4 linked regions of the Sus scrofa genome follow. Each later gene encodes a partner of the first gene's protein in a complex. Links are inferred from orthologs where the notes say so. Each region holds a gene or a part of one and is shown on either strand. Other genes may lie near its edges. The genes, in order: NCKAP1, ABI1, CYFIP2 and WASF2.

Region 1 (4,711 bases):
ACAAAATTAAGATTTCTGACTCGATAGGTAAAATATCATTTCAAGAAGCATATATATTAGAATTGAGTGCCTCAAGAGTCTAATTCTGCTGCCCTAACAGCATACATTTGAAATCAGAAGACTAAGCGTTATTTAGTCTTAAGGTTTTCAAACATTTGACTGTGTCCCACTACAAAATATGTATTTAGTATCACAATTCAGATTACACATACATATACACAAAGTTTCATGAAGCAATATTTCTATTTACTACATGTAATGCACTTTTTTCCCTACTTCTTCTTTCCTTTCCTCTCTTTTCTATCTTTCTTTAGATGTTGACTGCAACATTCTAAACTGATTTGATAAGCCTAATGGGTTGTCACCTGCCAACTGAAGAATACCGATTTGCTTCATCTTCTCATTTTGCTTGAAAGGAAGACTCACAAAGATTAACTGGCTTGTCCAGTATTATAACCAGTTAATAAGTATAGGATAAGAATCTCTGTAATTTAAGTAATTCCCAGTTCACTATTCTTTATACACCCCAGTTTATTATTCTTTATACTATACTGCTTCTACTAGTGCTTTCTCTCACAAAAGGAGACACTGCATAGATAAGAAGAATAAAATAACAAACTCATTAATTGAACCAACAAACAAAAATAATTTATATTCTTTCTTACTTAGTAAAGCGGATTTCCAGATGAGAAGTCAAATATTCTCGTGGGGTAAATGTATGTTCCCAAACCACCATGTTTGGTACATAATTTATAGAGAAACACAACTCAGAAAGTGCAGTGTGCAATTTATCAAGGCTGAAAAATATTAACAAGCATAAAATAAAAACTTTAACATTTCATCATAGCAATAAAAAATTAATTTTATAAACATATTGGACCTTATTTGGGGATAACTATAGAATTCAGTTTTTTCTCTCTCTTAAACTGACAAGTTCAAAATCTTTAAGGGTATCACTAAGCATGGAGAACAATTTTCTAAAGATGGCATCATTTGTTTCTTCATTCAGATGAATGACTTAATATATATGAATGAGTTTTTTCTGCACTCATAAAGATAATCATTTCCAATTCCTGTCGTACTTTCTGCTGTGGAGGAAGAAAGCTGTCTACAAAATGGCAAGAAGCTTGCTCAACACAGGAAGCAAAGAAGTAGGAAATTTACTCTCAACAAAAAACATTCACCCATTATTGCTCATCTCCTCTATAAACAAACAAATCACTGAACACTATCTAGTATAATATACCTATTTTAAAGTAATGATATCGGGTATTTTCTAATACATGACAAGATGCCAAAATAGTCTCAAACACCTGATATTAAATAAGCTGAAAATTATAGATTGCTTATAGGATATCCCTGCTCCCAAATTTTTTGAGATTCTTGGCCTTTAATATTTAGCATATAAAGACAAATGACATTTATTACATGAAAAATTCAAAAATCTATATTTTGGGATGAAGTAATAAGCACTAACTGGCTAAGCAAGTTCACAAAGGCAAAAAAAAAAAAAAAAAAAAAAAAAAAACCAAAAACCCTGATTGGGAAATTAAGAATCTACAATTACAAGAATTTCCTCAGTACTAATATCATACCAAAAAACCACTCTTCTACCTATAACAAAAAGATACAATAGTGGATGGCTTACTTTGTCACTACCAGCCTGTTTTTCCTCATGCTCTCAACTCCTGGCTTTTCTCTTTCAGGTTCCCCTTTCTTACCAGTCTGCTTTTTTGACTTCTTATTCACTGCTTGACTGATGGTTTTGGCACAATGCTTGGGCAGTAACTAAATTTAAAAAGAAATAAAACCTTAGACTGATTACTTTAAAACATTAACTACTGAAATAAACCTTATCTAAATCCAGGCTATGTGGCAAATATGTTAGCACTAAGAGTAGAGGTATTAAGTGGGAGGTAGAGTTTACCTAGCTAGCTTGGAGAGCCCACTCAGCTTGATGGAAAACAGAAACAAGTAAATCTTGTGTGAAGAAACACTTCATAGAGCTACAGCTAAAAGAAAAGTTAAAAAATACCAGGCAAGTCAGGAGTAAAAATGAACACTTTACTGAAAGGAAAATGGCCTAAGAAGACCAAAACTATAGGCCACAATGTGTTGAGAATCCAGTGAGAATGACTAGGTAATGGAATGCAAAGTGCAGGGTAGAGGGGCTTTAGCTACCAGAAAGGGACTTGAATATCAAGCTAGAGGCTGGATTTTACACCATAAGTAATCCTAAGGACAGTGGCAATTTTTAAAAAACCTAATAATGGAACTTCACAGTAAGAGGTAATGAGATTTACTAAGAGTTTGAGAATTTTAAAAATGAAAATACTAAAAAAAAAAAAACAACTAGCTAAGAGATCATTTTCTTGCCTTCATACACAGTTTTCCTACCTGTAAGGAAACATTTAACATTTATTACCTGGTCACTAAGAGTACACTGTTCAGTACAAATATCAGTGATGAGATTTCGAGCTTGTTTAGCCATTTCATCAAGGAACATATTACATAAGGAAAGACTTCGATCTCCAATATGATGTCGCTGTTAAAGCAAGAGAGTAACAATAACAATAATAAAAATTATAAGAAAGTAGTTTGAATTAAGACACCTTTTAAATAAACATCAAAAAGAAGGCTCAAGTCTATTCTACGATAAGGAGTGAGGGTGGAAAATGTTATAGATTTCTTTTATCTCTTATAACAACTAACCTATCATACTGTACTTGCACATAATTGACATAAAATAAGTACTTGGTGATTATACAAGTAAAATATGGTTGAAAGGAATCTGAAAGAACCAGTATTTTCTTTAACAAGAAAAACTATTATTTTCAAATTCCAGTCTCATATCCAATTCTTAAATACTAAAACACCGAATATACAAATGTGAAAGAACAGATTTAGAGTAATATTTTCTGACCTCACCTGATTATATTATATATATATACACACACACACACAGTATAAAACAGAAAAAAAGGTCATATATTTAAATAAAATCAGCAGCAATCAAGTCAACAAAACTTCACAAGGCATTCAACTAACTCCCCAAAATCAAATTCCCCATCCTGGAAGAGAAAAAAAAAGCTGACCATGCATGTATTTTTCTGAACATAATAAGAGGAAAAAAGAAAATTATATCTAACTTTGGAGAGATTACATATACACATGTAGCTGCATACACTCACTCAAATCCATCTATCTCTAGCTACAGAATTCTAGTTTTGGTGGGTATTTAATAGGTTTAAAAAGTTTTCCTTGTCAACAGTAACTGAAATGTTAAGTATATAATGCTGGACAATTCTACACTATACATTTTTAATACTTTACAAAGAAATAGATTTTTACAGGTTTTCCTTCGCTGATCATCCATAATTATATAACAAACATGTAGACAACACAAATTCTATGCTAAATAAATGTAAAATAATATAAAAGAATATAAAAATATTTAAACATGTAAAATAACTGTTCCTCAATCTACCATAATACCTTATAATGTATTTTATTTAAAATGTCTTATACGAGTTCCCATAGTGGCTCATTGGGTTAAGAACCCGACAAGTATCCATGAGGATGCGGGTTCAATCCTGGCCTCGCTCTAGGGGTTAAGGATCAGGCATTGCTGCAAGCTGCAGCATAGGTTGCAAATCTGGTTCAGATCTGGTATTGCTGTGGCTGTACTATAGGCCAGAAGCTACAGCTCCCACTCAGCCCCTTGCCTGGGAAGGAACCGCTGCCGCATGTGTGGCCCTAAAAAGAAAAAAAAAAAAAAAAAAATGCCTTTTAAAACTACAGTTAGAAGCCAGACTAAAAAGGATCTACAGGCCAGATCAATTAAATAATCATTCACTTAACTTAAGGAAAGATTTCAAATGATAAACATTTGGGTTTTGTTTAACCAAATTCTGACTCCTTAAAGGTAAAACATATCCCTTGCTATCACTTCTCCCTGAAAAAAATATGGAACCAGCACTGCCTCAAACTTACTGGACTAACTTATTAAAATACAGATTTCACTACTATCCAATGGCTCAAAAATACTAAGACTGGAAAGCAAAACTAAGGTTTCTTAACTTTGGTTGTATTGCTAGGTACCGAAGATAATGGCAGAAACAGACCACTTAGGAGGCAGTAACAATCATCAGACAAAAGATGACATGGCTTGTACAAAGGTAAGAAGAGGTATAAGTTTGAACATATGAGAAGGTAGAGCCAAAAACAGAAAAGGCCCCAAGTTGGGGTGGATGTGGAAAATCAGTATTTCTATTCTGCACATATTAAACGTCAGATGGCTAAAAAAAAATCTAAGTTACAGCAGGATATAGAGAAAATCTAAACTGAAGGGAAAAGTCTGGGCTACAGATACAGATTTAGAAGACATTAGCATAGGGAAGATTTTTAAACAATGAGACTGGAAAGACTGAGTGAACCACTATACTGGATGGTACAGTTATAGCAACACAATAATTTCTTGTTGGTACTGGCTGTCCCTATCTGGGAATTCTGCTGACCTGTAAGGGTGTGAGTTTTGAATCTAGTTCAAAAGATACTATCATTTGGCAAATTCTTTTTTTTTTTTTTTTTTTTTTGCATTGCCTGAGGCACGCTTAATTTCCTAGGCCAGGATCAAACCCATGCCACAGCAGTAACCAGAGCAACAGCAGTGATAACACCAGATCCTTAACATGCTGAGGCAGCAGGTAAA
Region 2 (5,251 bases), on another chromosome or scaffold:
CTGAGCCATAACAGGAACTCCAACACTTTCTATTTTGAAAATTATTTTCCCAAAGAATTTCAAAAACCTTTTTAAAAAAACAAAAACCTTGGAGTTCCTGTCGTGGCACAGTGGTTAACAAATCCGACTAGGAACCATGGGGTTGTGGGTTCAGTCCCTGGCCTTGCTCAGTGGGTTAAGGATTGGGCGTTGCCATGAGCTGTGGTGTAGGTTGCAGATGCGGCTTGGATCCCACATTGCTGTGGCTCTGGCGTAGGCCGGTGGCTACAGCTCTGATTCGACCCCTAGCCTGGGAAACTCCATGTACCACAGGAGCAGCCCAAGAAAAGGCAAAAAGACAAAAAAAAAAAAAAAAACCCTTTTTAAGACAGTGGGCTCTCTTGAGAAGTTCTGCTATTAATACAATTTAATAATTAAAGTCAACAGGTCCAAAAGAGCTAATAAAGTGCTCAAGGACTAAACTGTACTACAGCCAAAAGAACCTTCCAGCTAAATACCATACCTGACTGAACTGTACTTCAAAACTACAGGAAAATAACAAAATGAAAAGTGATTTTATCTCAGGATAAAAACCACGCTGGCAAAAACTTAACTTGGGGTGTAAAAAAATTCTCAAAACACAAGTGACCATATACTCTTCCCAAGAGAAGGTATGTTTACACAGGGTGTTGGCTATTACCCTGTCACAGAAGGGATACAGAGAGATCTCAAAAGACATGTAAATGGATATTTCTAGTATTATGAGTTTCCTCTTAACAGTAGCGTAGCACATCATAAAGCCAGCTACCAACACATCAACTCTCACAAAGTCCTCATTACCTTCTGAGCCTGTCTGAGCCTCTTGGGAAGGCAACTGGTAGCCAGCTTCAAGCAACCCAAAGTTAGCTTTGGGAGTTCTCTTGTGCTGCAGTGGGTTAAGGATCCAGCCTTATCACTGCAGCAGTTTGGGTCACTGATGTGGCTAGGGTTTGATCCCTGGCGGGGCAACTACTACATATCAAAGGAGTGGAGGTGGGGGGAAGCAAAAAAAAAAAAAAAAAAGCAGCAGCAGCCTCTAACATCAACATTGCTGTGTGTGAACTTCATCTCTTCCCACCCCCACAGCTTACATGGGACTATCTCACTAGCATCAAGTTTAGGACCACCAAAAAGAAACTGGGGGCCACTTACAGTGGATTTTGGCACCATGGTACTAATATGCTTTAAAGACTATGAGAAATAACATGATTTATTTAACTAGGGATATAATGAAGTTTAAAAGTACTTCAAAGTTACATGATGGTAGCAAGAGGGAAAAAAAGGGGTGGGGGTACCTCTAGCACACAACTACCTGAAAAAGAAATACTCAACAGACAGGTTAAAACACGTTTGCATTTGCCAACACATAGCAGTTACCACACCATGTATTTGTCAGATTTCCCAACATGCAAAACAAAAAGAAACCATCCCTTAATGAAGTACCTATCTGCTGATTTCTACAAAGAAATGACTTTCCCTTAATGGAGGCAATTTAACTTCCTGTGCTTTCTCTCTGACTTTCAAAATCTTTAAAACCTTCAGCAAACTGAGAATCACCTCAATTTTAGGGCTTTTCACAATGAAACTTGTATATTTTTGGTATCAATCAACTACAAAATAACTTTTCTGTTTGAAAAGTATATCCACATTTCTAGTAGATTTTAGAATTTTTTTTAAAAGCAGTTTGCAAAAACAGCGAAAACAGTAGATGTAGCAGGCATTCAACAAGTTTATCAGTGGAATTCCTAAAGTAAAATCTTGAAAAAATTTATGAGATAAATTCCTTGTAGTGCTACTGAAGATACAGTGTTACTAATATGGAAATTGAAAAATATTCAAAATATTCTGAAAACAGTATCTCCTTCTAAAAATAAAAAGGAAAGCATTTGCCAACACAGAAACCATTGGTTCTTAAAAATGACAATCACATGGGATGCATTTCTATAAATACCTTAGTTCGGAATTACAGTAACTCTAACCTTTCAAAACACGTTTTGGTCATGCCTTACCACTAACAAGCGAATTTTTGGTGCCATTATCCTGATTAAAAAGGACTCTGCTACTTTTACTTGCTTCTATTGAAAAATGTTAGTTTACCGCAATTAAAGATCTACAAAGCAAACCACCACAACATAATTCACTTTCAATCATTAAAATAAAAGCAAACAAGCAACCACCTATCATAGATAAAGGTCCAAGAATTTTCGAAAACATTCAACAATAACGTATTTGTCGTTATGGTTCTAAGACTAAATGTTCAGTAATCTACTGAGATTCATTCTACACAAGTACTTAGGATGGAAAGAGAGAAACCTCAGGAAAAAAAACAGCAACCGGCGATTACACCATTCTATTTTAAGTTACTTAGGAAGCTAGCAGTTCAAGAACTTTTGAGGAAGAGAGAGTATTTAAGCCATTTTTCCAAGTAGTTAAGAATAATTTGTTTCAAGCTAACGATCGCCCTAACAATCTCTAGAATATATTACGGTGGGGCGGAAGTGAAAATGATGAGAGGGAAAAAAACCCGACTTGAAAATGGACAGGCAGGCAGATTTACAAACCTTCAATTAAAGGAATTTGGAGATTAACTTCTACTCCCTCCCTCGCTCCCCACTCGCTTCCTCCTCTCCTCGGGGAGGTCTCTGTGATGTGACTCACGACCAATTTTTTAAAAAATAAATAAATAAAAGACACACCCTCTGGGCTAAACTGACATAATCGCCCCCACCCCACCCTCCCCCGACACACACACCCCGCTTTTCCTCTCTCTCCTGCCGCTCCGCCCCGCGCCTCGTCCCGGCCCTTTGCTCTCCCCTTGCTCGACCGGTCCGAGACCCCTGGGCCGGCAGAGAGGCGGCAGGGCTCTAGGGGGACTCCGGGGCGAAAGCCCGGCGGGTGGAGGGCTGCCGGGGGGAAGCGCGACTCCGGGGGCTGAGCCCGCGGGGAGGCGGGCGGCAGGGGGGCGCCGGGCTGCGACGGCCGCGAGCTCCGGGCTCCCTCGCCCATTTTCTCTCTCCGCTTCTATGGGTTTCAACCACCACAGCCACTTCCTGTATCGCAGCCCGACTCCCCAAACCCGGCCACTTGCTGTCGCCCCGGCTGAGGCTGGGGTTGAGGTTGGCGCTGGGGTTGGGGTTGGGGTTGGGGCTGCCGCTAAGGTTAGGGCAATTCCCCACCCCTCCCAGTGGGCTGGTCACCCAGGCGGCCGCCGGCGGGTCCTTGGCCCGGCCGGCCAGCGCCCGCCCGCGCGACCGCGCTCCTCACCTGTATGTAGTTGTTTTCACAGTAGTCCGCCACCCGGGTCAGGTTCTGGTAACTCTCTATCAGCGCCCTCTTGCCAGACGGGATCTCCTCCTCTAGTAACATCTGCAGCTCTGCCATTTTCCACCCCTCTGCATCGCTTCCTCTCGCGTTAAAGAGACAGAGGCAGCAAGGTCTGCGGAGACGCCGAGCACCTCACAGCCCGGATACAAACCGCCTGCCCGCCCTCCCGCCTGGTATTGTGGGACGGAACCTCCTCCTCTTCCTCCTCACTCTCTCCACCCGCCTCCACCCACTTCACGCAGCCGCCTCAACCTCTTTTCTCGCGAGCCTTCCTGTCTTTCCCGCCCCCTTCCCGCAACCATGGAAATTTTTTCCTTTGGCATGGCCTTCTGGGAATTGTAGTCTCTTGCAGACGTGGCTGCCCATCAGAAGCGCATGCGTTCAGGGAGCCTCCGAAAAAGAACGAGGAGGAGCATATTTAAAGAACTTGGAATGAGGGTGGTGGTTTAAGTTTCTAGTCTCTTGACGGGTCCGGCAGATGGCGCCGCAGAGTGATACTAGAGAATAAAACCCGGTCCCCGAGAAAGCTGTAATACTTGGTAGAACTTAACTAGGAAATGCCTGTGAATCAGAGATATCAATCTGATAAGGTTTAAAAAGGACTGGAATAAGGATATTCCAGATCTTTACTTCCTCTGTCTTTTTAGAGATAACTCCACTCAGGCTTTATTTTCTAAACTTCTGCCGCCCTCAGTTTACTTAAAATTTAACTTGCCCTTGTTATTGCCAGCTCTACACCAAGCAATGGACTGGGGGTGCAAGTTGAGTAAAGGATACTCGCTCAGTGGGTTAAGGATCTGGCATTGCAGTAAGCTGTGGTGTAGGCCCGAGGCAATAGCACTGATTTGACCCCTAGGCTGGGAACTTCCATATGCCACAGGTGCAGCCCTAAAAAGACCAAAAAATATATATATATATATATTAATATTGAGATTTCCCATTGTGCCTAGCAGATTAAAACCTGAAATAATGTCTGTGAGGATGAGGATTTTATCCCTGGCCTTGCTCAGTGGGTTAAGGATCTGGCATTGTTGCAAATTGCAGCATAGGTCACAAATGCAATTCATATCTGGTGTTGTTGTGTCAGTGGCATAGGCCAGCAGCTGCAGCTTCAATTCAACCCCTAGCCCAGGAACTTCCATATGCTGAGAGTGTGGCCCTAAAAAGAAAAGAAGAAATAAAAAGAAAGCCATGACACATACTTATGACAGAGGACCTGTATCTGGAATATATTAAAAAAAAAAAAAAAAAACTCCTCCAAGTCAATAAAAAAAAGACAGACAGGAGTCCCTGCTGTGATGTGGTGGAAACAAGTCTGACTAGTATCCATGAGGATTCAAGTTTGATCTCTGGCCTTGCTCAGTGGGTCAGGGATCTGGTGTTGCCTTGAGCTGTGGTGTAGGTTGAAAGAGGGACTCAGATCCTAGGTTGCTGTGGCTGTTGCATAGGCCAGCTGCTGCACCTCTGACTTGACCCTTAGCTTAGGAACTTCCATATGCCTCAGGTGAGGCCCTAAAAAGAAAAAAAAAAAAAAAGACAGACAATTCAATTAGAAAATGGACAAGAGGGAGTTCCCGTTGTTGATGCAGTGGAAAAGAATACGACTAGGAATCATGAGGTTGCAGGTTCGATCCCTGGCCTAGCTCAGTAGGTTAAGAATCTAGTGTTGCTGTGAGCTGTGGTGTAGGTCACAGACACGGCTTGGATCTGGCATTGCTGTGGCTGTGGTGTAGGACAGTGAAAACAGTTCTGATTCGACCCCTAGCCTGGGAAGTTCCATGTGCCTTGGGTGCAGCCCTAAAAAAACCAAAGACCAAAAAAAAAAAAAAGAAAGTGGACAAAAGAGGAGTTTCCACTGTGGTGCAGAGGGTTAAGAATCCGACTGCATTGGCTCGGTTTGTTACCAAAG
Region 3 (5,361 bases), on another chromosome or scaffold:
CTGTGGGAGGCCCTCTAAGGCCATGAAATCCTTTAGCAGAGTCAACAACACACACACACACACACAAAGAATCTGTCTTCTTAAATTGACACACAATATACAAGGTGACATGAGCCACATTCTTCATGATTATGTAATTAATGCATTATAACAATAAACACATAAATATAATAGTACACACTATGTGCTAGGCACTTTGCGGCATCCCTTATTTAATAAGAGCATCCTTCCCCACCACTGATGGCACAGGTGTCTCTGCTCAAGGTAACTGCATGCTCCGCCCCCCCTTGCCCCATCTCCACGACTAATGCAGGATCCATCCTCTGGACCCTAGACTTGGCTTTGCTCCTCAGGACAATAAGACCCGAGGCCTTTTACAAAGGCTCCAGTGAGGGGACTGCTGTCTGGTTTCGTCAACTACAAGTGAATAATTAATACATGCCAGTAAAGAAATAGACTCATTGTTATGGTGGCCACATGGAGGCTATAAAAGGCCATTTTGCGCAGCTCTGGGCGGAACCCTGGGACCAACAGTGGCCAAGAGAAACCTCTTTGAGAGTATAGGCTGATCCTCAAATGTGGGGACTGGAGCTCTCGGCACTATTTTCCAGGAGTGCTGTTCCCAATGCTAATTAGCTGTTGCCTATTCATCACCTAATTCGCCTTGCCACTCAGTGACAGCAGCAGAGGCCCACTGCATGCCCGAGAGGGCACAATATTTCAGATAGGACATGTACTATTCCCCCAAGATCCTTTTCCAGTCTTTAAATTCTTGTCTACTTTCTTCTCTGCGCCAGACTCTGATTGGCTTTGAGTAAAACTCTCCTATCCTGGTGGACTTCATATCCCACTCTCGGTCTAATGCCTACAAGTTTTTCCTTTTCCATTTCCAGCAGGTACTGAACAAGGCAGGCCTGGGTGCCTACAGAACCAGTCAGAACTGGCCAGGAAATATAATAAAGAAGCTTAGTGAACAGCACGCTAATGCCCCCAGCCAGAGGCTCAGCCTGCAGAACTAGCCAGGGGAACTGGCTTTGAGAGCAACAACACACTCTTCTTGTGGCCTAGTAGCTGCTCTGGCAGATGGCAGCCAGTGTCAACAAGTAACTCTCTATAGGTTTCACCTCTTCCAAATAGACACTGAGTGCTCAACAATGCCTTCTAGTGACAGTAACCCCTGACCAGTTACACACACACACACAGACACACACACTACTCCTATGGTATTTCTGCCCTTAAGGCCAAAGCTGCCCTTGCAGCAAGCAAACAGCACTGACAGCTGCTAAAAGCTGTCATTTCAGTGAGCTGTTCCCCAAAATTGCGACCCAGTTCCCCACTCCCACTTCCAGCCCACTGCCTGAAATTCCACCGTTAGAGATATGAAATATTATTTACTAAAAGCTTTGTTTCCCATTAAAATGCCTCTAAGCCTCTGTTTCCTTTCTGGTCAAATGACTTCTAAAGCACCTGCTCTGCGTCTAATGGGAAATTTGTTTGTATTTGGCTCTTTGAGGATAAATGCCTTCACTGGCTCCTTTCTTGAAAACAATTTCTGGCACAGGAGAATAGGGTGGGGGTGGGGGTGGGGGTGGAGCACAGGGCACTGTGTGGAAGCAGAGGTGAGCGGTCTCAGGAGGGATCGCAGAGAAGCTCTGATGGAGAAAACAACTTTCAAGGCCTTCACCACCCTGTCCAGGGATATGGACCTAGATTTTTGCCCTCCAGCAGCTATAATCTTCACAGCTGCCAGCATGGCTTGCAACAGCGCCTGTGCCCAAGAGTAAGGTAAGATCGACGGCCTCCCCACACCCCTCCTTTTCCCCCCTACCCACCCCCGTGCGCAAAAGTGACAGAGTCAGGAGGTGGGAAGGGAGAGGTGGGAACCAGCACTCTCCTGATTGCCCCTCATGCCTGCAGGGCTACCCCAGCCTTTCTGACCATGCCTCGAAGGCACAAGTGCCCAGAAGCCCACAGGAAAATAACCTTGTCCCTTTCTGGGCCCCGCTGTAAGGGGAGCTGAAGGCCCATCCATCAGTCCTTGGTGAGTCGCACTGCTATGGTGGGGAAACTAGACAGGCAGAGGTCAAAGTCAGATTCCCTGGGCTGAGCAGGGTACCTGGGCAGTCTCGGTGTCCTTCTCTGTCAGGTTTTCCAGACAGAACCTACTCCAGACCATGCTTCCCGCCCCCACCCCCACTGCCACACGGAGAACTGCCCTTGTATACCTTTTCAGATGATGCATACCCCTGGAGGGAGGCGGCTGTCCTGCAACGCAGAAGCCACTACAGAGCTAAATAAAACCCAACCTTTCCCCCAGGAATCAGACCACTCTTTCCCTTCCCCCCACCTCCTCCCCGCCCCCAGCCAGCCAGAGGGAGAGGATGCTAGGCCAGAAGGCTTCAAAGCGGGTCAGGCCTGCCTCCTCGCTCATTAAAGCCCCCCACCCCGAAACAACGCTGCGGAGACCCCTGCTCCACCCATCTCACGTTCACTACAGGGCGCGCTGCGTCCAAGGCGGCTGCCAGGCGGGCCCAGGCGGCTCTAGCTGGCCCTGGGGGAGGTGATGGTAGCTACAGCGGCAGAGGCGGCAGCAGAGGCGGTGGCCGGCGCTCTGCGGTACCTGGGCGCCGGGAGGTCGCCACCGCCGGCCTCGCGGCCGCTGCAGGTGCTTCAGATGCTCGACAGGAGCGCCGCTTCCTCCCAGGCGGGTGGCTTCGGCCCAGGCCGCGCACCTGCTGCTGCTGCCACCGCCACCGCGCCTCAGCTTCTCCATGCGTCGGTGCCTCCCCGAAGGCGGTCCGCGCCTCAGGCACTAGGGTGGGCCAAAGGGGGCAGCGGGCTGTGCTGGGCCCGAGGCCCGGCCTCTGGGAGCTTCTTGGGGCCCCCAGGCCGGGCTAGCCCGGCCGCCGCGCCGAGCACCCCCACGGCGCTGGGAGAAGGGGTGCGAGCCCCTCGCGCATCTCTACGGCTGCGTCGACATCCCCAGCAGCATCCCGGTCTCCACGCCGGCCCCGAGGCCTGCGAGCGCCGCTTACCTGGGTCTGCAGCAGGTCTAGGGGAGCTGCCCGAGGATACGGCGGGGGCCCCGCGCCGGGGCGCAGGATGCTCTGCCTGGCCCGGCTCGGCGGCCGCCGCGCTTGGGCCCGCCCTCGGCCCCGCCCCTCCATCCGCTGCGGCTCCTCCTCCGTTCCCCGCACCCCGCCCCTTCGCCGCCGCGCCTGTCACACAAAGAGCAGGAAATGGCTGCGGCCAGGGGCTCTGGGTGCGTCCCTCAGCGCGGCTGGCGCATCCCAGACCTGCACCCGGACCTCTCGCCCCAGGAGAGCCAGCTACATCGCTTAGGGAGGATTTTCCCGGGCCCCTCAGACCCAGGAACCACACCTGCAGCTTGTGGGAGGACTGATCCTTTGGGCTCCATTAGGATCTCATTGATCTCACATGATTTCCAAATGCATATTTTTCGAGCACTTCTTTCGTTCCAAGCACCGTGCCAGGAGCTGAGTATGCACTGGGGTATGCAAAAGACAGAGTCTCTGCCCTTCTGGAGCTTATCATCTATCAGGAGATACATGGCATAAATTAACTTGGCAAATGTCCAGTTTCAGCTAAAAGACCGTTTTGTGGAAAAAAAAAAAAAAAGAAAAAAAGAAACAGGGTGAAATGGTAGAAAATAAACCTGAGAGTTGGGGAGAGGGCTTCTGCCAATGGAGTCTGATCCCAAATGCTGCTCCTCTGTTCAAGAATACCTACTGGTTCTCTCTTTCACTTCCTTGGTGTGGAATCCCTGAAGCTGCCATCTCTTAAGCAGAGGCCTGCCTCAACTTCATTCAGGAAGAATTAATTGCCTAATGGACAAAAAGGCAAATCCATGATGACGGAAATTAGAGAAGGAATTGAGAGGACAGGCACTTTTCTCTTCAAGACTTATTTGCCATTTAGGGCCCTCCAAAGAAATGGTTCACATTGAAATGCATCCTGGCGGGGCCTCAAACCAGGTGGAAGTCAGACAACACCTAATTCCAACCTTGGGACCCCTGAGCAAGTCACTTCACCACTCTGTTCCTGAGATGCCACCACATCTAAAATGTGGGGAATAATCGTTGCCTTTCCTACTTCACAAGGTAAATGATTTGAAATCATTTGAGATGTTTTAAAGTTAGGGGGTAAAGTCTTGCTACAAGGGAACTTTCCTGAAATATATCTGAGGGGCTTGCAAATGTAAAGTTCATCACTCAGCTCTTCCTATCAAGGGTTATTTATAGAGGAGCCACATTACTCAACACTCAGCAAAGGACTTGTATAAGTCTTTGTCCTCGCTGATCTCACATCCTTTCCCGAGTGCTCAGGATTCATGATCCTTTGTGGTTTGATGTTACATCACTCATTCTAATTTAAATCTCTATTTCAGAAAGGATGACTTATGTATACATATACATTTCTGTCCCTGATGCCATGTGAGAAAGCTGTGGGGGTGTTTGTGGAGGATGGCTTTAAAAAGAGAACTGAGGTTTCCTTTTTTGTGTGTGTCTTTTTAGGGCCCCACCCATGACATGTGAAAGTTCCCAAGCTAGGGGTCAAATCAGAGATGTAGCTGCAGGTCTATGCTACAGCCACAGCAACTCCATATCCAAGCTGCATCTGCAACCTACACCACAGCTCATGGCAATGCTGGATCCTTAACACACTGAGTAAGGCCAGGGATCAAACCCACATGCTCATGGATACTAGTTGGGTTTGTTACTGCTGAACCGCAGCAAGATCCTCCCCCCCCCTTTTTTTTTTTTTTAATTTTTCAACTGTGATCCTTGGGATTTGGGGTGTCAGTGATTACAAGTATTTAACAATGAGAGATTGGATTTTCATTCTAAATGGCATATTATTTCAGATGTTGTAGATTTATGGAAGATGTATTTCTCCCTGTGGCTCCTTCCTTGTCTTTTCACTTTGCAGGAATGTGTTGCTTAAAAAGAACAACAACAGGGAGTTCCTGTTGTGGCTCAATGGTTAACAAATCGGACTAGGAACCATGAGGTTGCGGGTTTGATCCCCGGCCTCGCTCAGCGGGTTAAGGATCCGGTTTTTCCATAAGCTGTGGTGTAGGTCGCAGATGCGGCTCAGATCCTGCGTTGCTGTGCCTGTGGCATAGGCTGGCAGCTTCAGCTCCAATTAGACCCCTAGCCTGGAAACCTCCATATGCCGCAGGATCGGCCCTAGAAAAGGCAAAAAGACAAACAACAACAAAAAGAGACAGTTATGTATATACTGGGTTAGATCTTAGGCAAAAATAATTCACTGCCCCCTTGAATTGTTTGGTTATAAGAGGAAGTAATACGGTCTTGTTGAAACTACTGTGTTAGAAAT
Region 4 (4,711 bases), on another chromosome or scaffold:
TAGGATTCCTCCAACGGGTAAGGGCTGGCCAAGATCATCTCTCAGGTCCCCCTCAAACCTTTCAGCTCTCCGAGGGAAGGCACCCTCTTGAACCCCCCTCTAAAAGGAAGGGTCAGTTCAATCCTGGAACCGGGATCAAGAAGGCATGCAAGAACGAACTGGAATAAAAATTCAACCACCACCACCCACCAGGCTCTGTTCCACAGGCTATTAACATGCACCAGATCTTGTGAGGGCAGGAAATCCAAGCCAAGCTGACCAGACCTGAGCAGGGTACAGATTTAGGTGAATGCACCTTCAGTGCGCATGTGGAAAAACTTGAGAGAAAACGAGGGCCCGAGGGTCAGCGGAGACGGGAAATGAACGTGCCGCCAGACCTGACCCAGGTTGAAAGAGGATTAAGGTGCAGACTCCTGGGTTAGACTGTGGCTGCATGGTTTCAGGCCATGTGTGGGCTGAAGGGCTCCTTTTTTCCAGCTTTGTATCTGCCCTGCACTAATAGCTACTCCTTAGAAAAGCATCCATCTTGGAATTTTCCACAGACCTTCGAGCTTTAGCTGCTGAATCCAACAGGGCAACCAGCAAGAAGTGATTGGGGAGGCAGAAGGAGATTTGGGATTAGTGGTTTCAAGAGCCAAGAATGGGGCGGGGGGTGACAACACTGCTTTAGGGCTCCATCTGAGGGAACTTCAAAATATTCAATCTCTGATTAAACCCTGTCCAAGGAGAAAAGCATACCTTACAAAGCTCTCATGTGTCAGGCATCAGGATGAACAGTGATTATGAGGAAACACAGAAATCTGAACACTCCTCAGATTCCTTCCCTTTTCAGCCACTACCTGCTCACTCTTCCTCTATTCACCTCTGCCAGGGACACTGACATATATCAAAATGGTCAGATTCTAAGTTTCATCTCCTTTCCTTTGACATTCTTTCTGGAGATTCTATCCAACAGTGAAATGAACTAGAGGCAAGAGGAAAAAAAGGTGACTATCCGCTAGGTTCCTAGACAACTGGGCAAGGTGTCTGTTCCATAGCATATGCCCCCTTTCTTCCCTGTTTAATATTATGTGGACAGCAACAGAGGAGACCACTTTATTTCATGCCGAGTCAATGCTAAGTTAAAAAACAAGAGTTAAGTTGGTGACTTCTTTCTGTTCAGGAATACCTAGTAGTTAAGATCAAAGATTCTGGAGTTAGACTGACCTGTTTTCTAATCATGACTGCCTCTTACCAGCTGTGTGATCTCAGGTAAGTTCACTGACCTCTCTGTGCTTCACTCTTCACTCATCTGTAAAATGGGTACTTACCTCAAGAGGATTCTTGTGAAGATTAAGTAACATACACAGTGTTTGGCATAATGCCTGGTACCTCACAAACACTTAATAAATATTAATTATTTCTACTATCTAGACAGACTGGCCTGAAGTCATTCTGGCCTGGATTTAGAATTCTTCCTTTGTTCGTTGGTATTTAACCACCCAGAGTAGATGGAAGAGGTACCACCATTTACCTGAATTCTGCTGGTGGGGGAGGCAAGCTGTCCTCAGAGAAGGAAGGAGAAGGTGGAGAAGTAGAGTCTGACTGTGGTGGTGGTGGGTAGCTGCTTGCATCCACATTCTCAACAGAGCCAACGCTGCCGTTCTGATACACCAAGGTGGGTGGATACCTGACAAGGAACACAATGCCAGAACTGTCATTTAAAGTCTGAGTGGTACTCTTGTTTTCTTAAAAGACCCCACAAGAATGCATGTGATATACAAGCTATTAGGGAGAAATAAAATTAGTATATTTCCCATAGAGTTTCCGTTGCACTGACTATTTTAGGCCTAAATATTCTATTACTAAATATCTCCCAGATATTTCTGCTGGATTGTCTGTGGAAATGGGACTCAACTCAGATTATCAAAACCATGCTGTTCCTTTCCCAGTGTTGGCCTTGTCAAACAGCAGTTCCTTTAAATTCACTTCCAAATGTTAGGGGAAGCCCAGAACCCAAATCCCAGTTTGTCTTGTGGCAAAGGGCAAAGCCAAGTCCCAAGGCTACTGAGCTGCAAACACATGACTGGCACACAGACTGGTTTTGAGGTCGGCAAGCCTCTGGAGTGCTCAAAGGCCAAGAGGGCATCTGATTGCAAAGCCAAGCTGAGGACAAATACAAGTTGTCATGTGGTAGTCAGATGTGGTCTCTGCTAGGTCTCTCATTTAACAAAATGAGCTGTGGATTAAAGTGGGGTGCTAGGGCTTGCCTCATGAAAACCTGTCCCCCAGAGCACTGGGCCTTGGGTAAATCTGCGCTGAGTGAACAGCAACAAACTTCCAAACAAGCACGAATACACCAAGAAGCAGCTAGCACCTCCTGCTTCTTCCCACCATTGTTGGGTTCTACGGAACTTATCTAAAGCAGATCACAGGGAGAACAGATTTGGAGGGAGCTAACAGAATCGAATGATGCTCTGATGTGGAAAATCCCCAAGGACTTGGCACATCTCTTTATAGGTTCACCAACAAGGATGTCCATGTGGACCAGCTGTGCAGCCTGCCCAAACCTCTTGGACAACAGTAAAATGGGAGGCAAAGTGTTCATTTTCACCACTCCAATTACACAGAGACAGACAGACAGACAGACAAGTTTGCTCGGCATCCTGGACATGCACGCTTCTGGCCTTAGAGAACCTTCTTATGACAAGGGCCTGTCTGAACAGGATGGGGCCACAGAACAAAATGGCCCCTTTTTATTGGGAGGTGAAGCTAATGGAGGTACCCTCGGGGCTGATCCCCCTGTAGAAAGAAAGGTTCACTTTTCCTCTCACCATCTTCATCACTCTTTAAAACAAATCTCTTAATCCAGGAAGAACAAGTGTCAGAAGTGTCAAGATTTCTGAAAGTCAAGATTTTCATGGTAGAGTTATTCCTAAAAGCAAGGACAACTCCACTCTTTCCTTTTATCGTCCCTAGACACCCGGCATGGGCTGGCATGGTTCTCTGACAGCCAGGATGCAAGGTATTTAGGGGAAAAACCAGCGCGACATTCATGCCAAGCAGTCGTGGTGACTTGGCTTTGAATGTCACACAGGTCAGACACCAGGATAAGAATCAAACCAAGCTTTCAAACCATTTTTTTTTTTTTTTCCTTTTAAACCTCTAGTGTGATTTGGAATTGGGAAACGGGGTCAGACTGACATCTACTATTTCTCCACAGAGATATACAGCCTCAATGCTAGCCGTGCGACTGTTCCCACACTGCCTCTGAGGTCGGCTTCAGCCCCTTGGCCAGCCTCTCTCCCAAGACTGACAAAGGCTGACTGAGAAGTGGCTTTGGCGATGTGCACAAATTCTCTGCCTGGCCCTCCCCACACCAGTGAAATGCCCAGCTCTTAGCCATGACCTTCAAATCAACACTCTGGAGGCAAAGGCCTTCCAAGACCACTTTTCTTCCCTTTCTAGTCTTTCCTTTGAGGCCCTCAGACATAGCCATGTCTGGAAGAGCAAGGGCACTAAAAGCCATGGGCATTCTTTTTCCAGGCCATTCTGGTCATCTCATTTAAACTGCTTGAGTCTCTTGATTTTTTTTTTTTAGCAAATTTTAATCACCAGACAGAGGCACTTTAAAGTAGCTGATTAACAGTGGTATTGATTTAAGCCACAGAGCCAGACTTAAGGGTGTATGAAAGGTGTCACACATAAGCTGTCAGACGGCTGCCCTCGGGTACCCAGCCCCTTCCAAGAATGCTACCAAGAGAACAAAAGCATCACCTACCCAGACGGCCCCAGCTTTTCTTTGGATTCCACAAATTCTTGACCCATCTTCATTTTCTCCCACTCTTCCTTACGTGTCTTGATTTTACGTGGGTTTACATTCCCTCGATTTGGATTATCTTTCTTTTCTTTCTATAATGAAAAGAAACAGAAAAGCCTTAATAAAACACTTCCCAAAGTTATTCAGTAAAATTCCATCACTTTCACGGATATACACCCATGCATATGCTGTCTATGCCTAGAGAGCATACGGTAACTACAGAATTCATAGAACTGCTGGGTTTAGAGTGACCTAGAGGTCATCTAATCCAAACCACCTCCTGGGATCAAACACAGTTCCTCAATCCCACACTCAAACATTTCTAGCAATGAAACCCCATTACCTCTTTGGGTAACTCATTCATGGTTTTGAGCAGCTCTAATTGTTAGGAAGTTAGTAAACTGTTATTTGCTATGCCACAAAGGTCAGTCAAGAGAGAAGAGAAATAATGACGGCGACAGATATCTGGGACAGATATAAGGAAATAGTTAAAAACAAACCAAAACAAGCAAAGAAGAATTCTTCAGCCTGTGCAGCTGCACTAGCCCCTGGCACTCTCTTGGGCCTCCTGGCAGCCACACTAATGGGATTGTGAGGTTGTACCTGGTAGGTCATATGCTTACACACATCACTGGGAGTCTGGGGGGAGCATCTACCAGTGTAGGCCTAGGCCCCCACCTCTGCCCCGCCCAACCAGTAGTCAAGGTGTTAAACCGCTCCTGTTACAAATCAAACACTGTAGAGCCTTGTGCTGATCTGAGAAACGAGCTGCAAAACTGGCGGGGAAGGGACTAGCCTAGTTTGAGTGTCCAGCAGAGTCAGGTGCAAATTGCAAGAGAAATAAATGGTGAATAGAAAAGTCAATTTCTAAAACTCAGCCTGAATATACTCGCCTGTTAATAGCGCTGAGGG

Evidence for each region.
Region 2: NCKAP1 (region 1) and ABI1 share a complex: the UniProt entries of both Homo sapiens proteins name them as parts of the WAVE2 complex. The link is inferred for Sus scrofa from reciprocal best matches to the Homo sapiens genes NCKAP1 and ABI1.
Region 3: NCKAP1 (region 1) and CYFIP2 share a complex: the UniProt entries of both Homo sapiens proteins name them as parts of the WAVE1 complex. The link is inferred for Sus scrofa from reciprocal best matches to the Homo sapiens genes NCKAP1 and CYFIP2.
Region 4: NCKAP1 (region 1) and WASF2 share a complex: the UniProt entries of both Homo sapiens proteins name them as parts of the WAVE2 complex. The link is inferred for Sus scrofa from reciprocal best matches to the Homo sapiens genes NCKAP1 and WASF2.

The regions. Positions count from the first base shown.
Region 1 is NC_010457.5:88,454,772-88,459,482, forward strand, and holds part of NCKAP1 (nck-associated protein 1), read right to left. Parts: intron 2,546-4,711; coding exon 2,426-2,545; intron 1,789-2,425; coding exon 1,649-1,788; intron 798-1,648; coding exon 666-797; intron 1-665. UniProt on the Homo sapiens protein: Part of the WAVE complex that regulates lamellipodia formation. The WAVE complex regulates actin filament reorganization via its interaction with the Arp2/3 complex. Actin remodeling activity is regulated by RAC1.
Region 2 is NC_010452.4:48,937,757-48,943,007, reverse strand, and holds the start of ABI1 (abl interactor 1), read right to left. Parts: upstream 3,553-5,251; 5' UTR 3,400-3,552; coding exon 3,283-3,399; intron 1-3,282. UniProt on the Homo sapiens protein: May act in negative regulation of cell growth and transformation by interacting with nonreceptor tyrosine kinases ABL1 and/or ABL2. May play a role in regulation of EGF-induced Erk pathway activation. Involved in cytoskeletal reorganization and EGFR signaling.
Region 3 is NC_010458.4:65,998,403-66,003,763, forward strand, and holds the start of CYFIP2 (cytoplasmic FMR1-interacting protein 2), read right to left. Parts: upstream 3,175-5,361; 5' UTR 3,036-3,174; exon of another isoform or gene 2,621-3,035; intron 1-2,620. UniProt on the Homo sapiens protein: Involved in T-cell adhesion and p53/TP53-dependent induction of apoptosis. Does not bind RNA. As component of the WAVE1 complex, required for BDNF-NTRK2 endocytic trafficking and signaling from early endosomes.
Region 4 is NC_010448.4:84,627,515-84,632,225, forward strand, and holds part of WASF2 (wiskott-Aldrich syndrome protein family member 2), read right to left. Parts: intron 3,892-4,711; coding exon 3,761-3,891; intron 1,670-3,760; coding exon 1,514-1,669; intron 1-1,513. UniProt on the Homo sapiens protein: Downstream effector molecule involved in the transmission of signals from tyrosine kinase receptors and small GTPases to the actin cytoskeleton. Promotes formation of actin filaments. Part of the WAVE complex that regulates lamellipodia formation.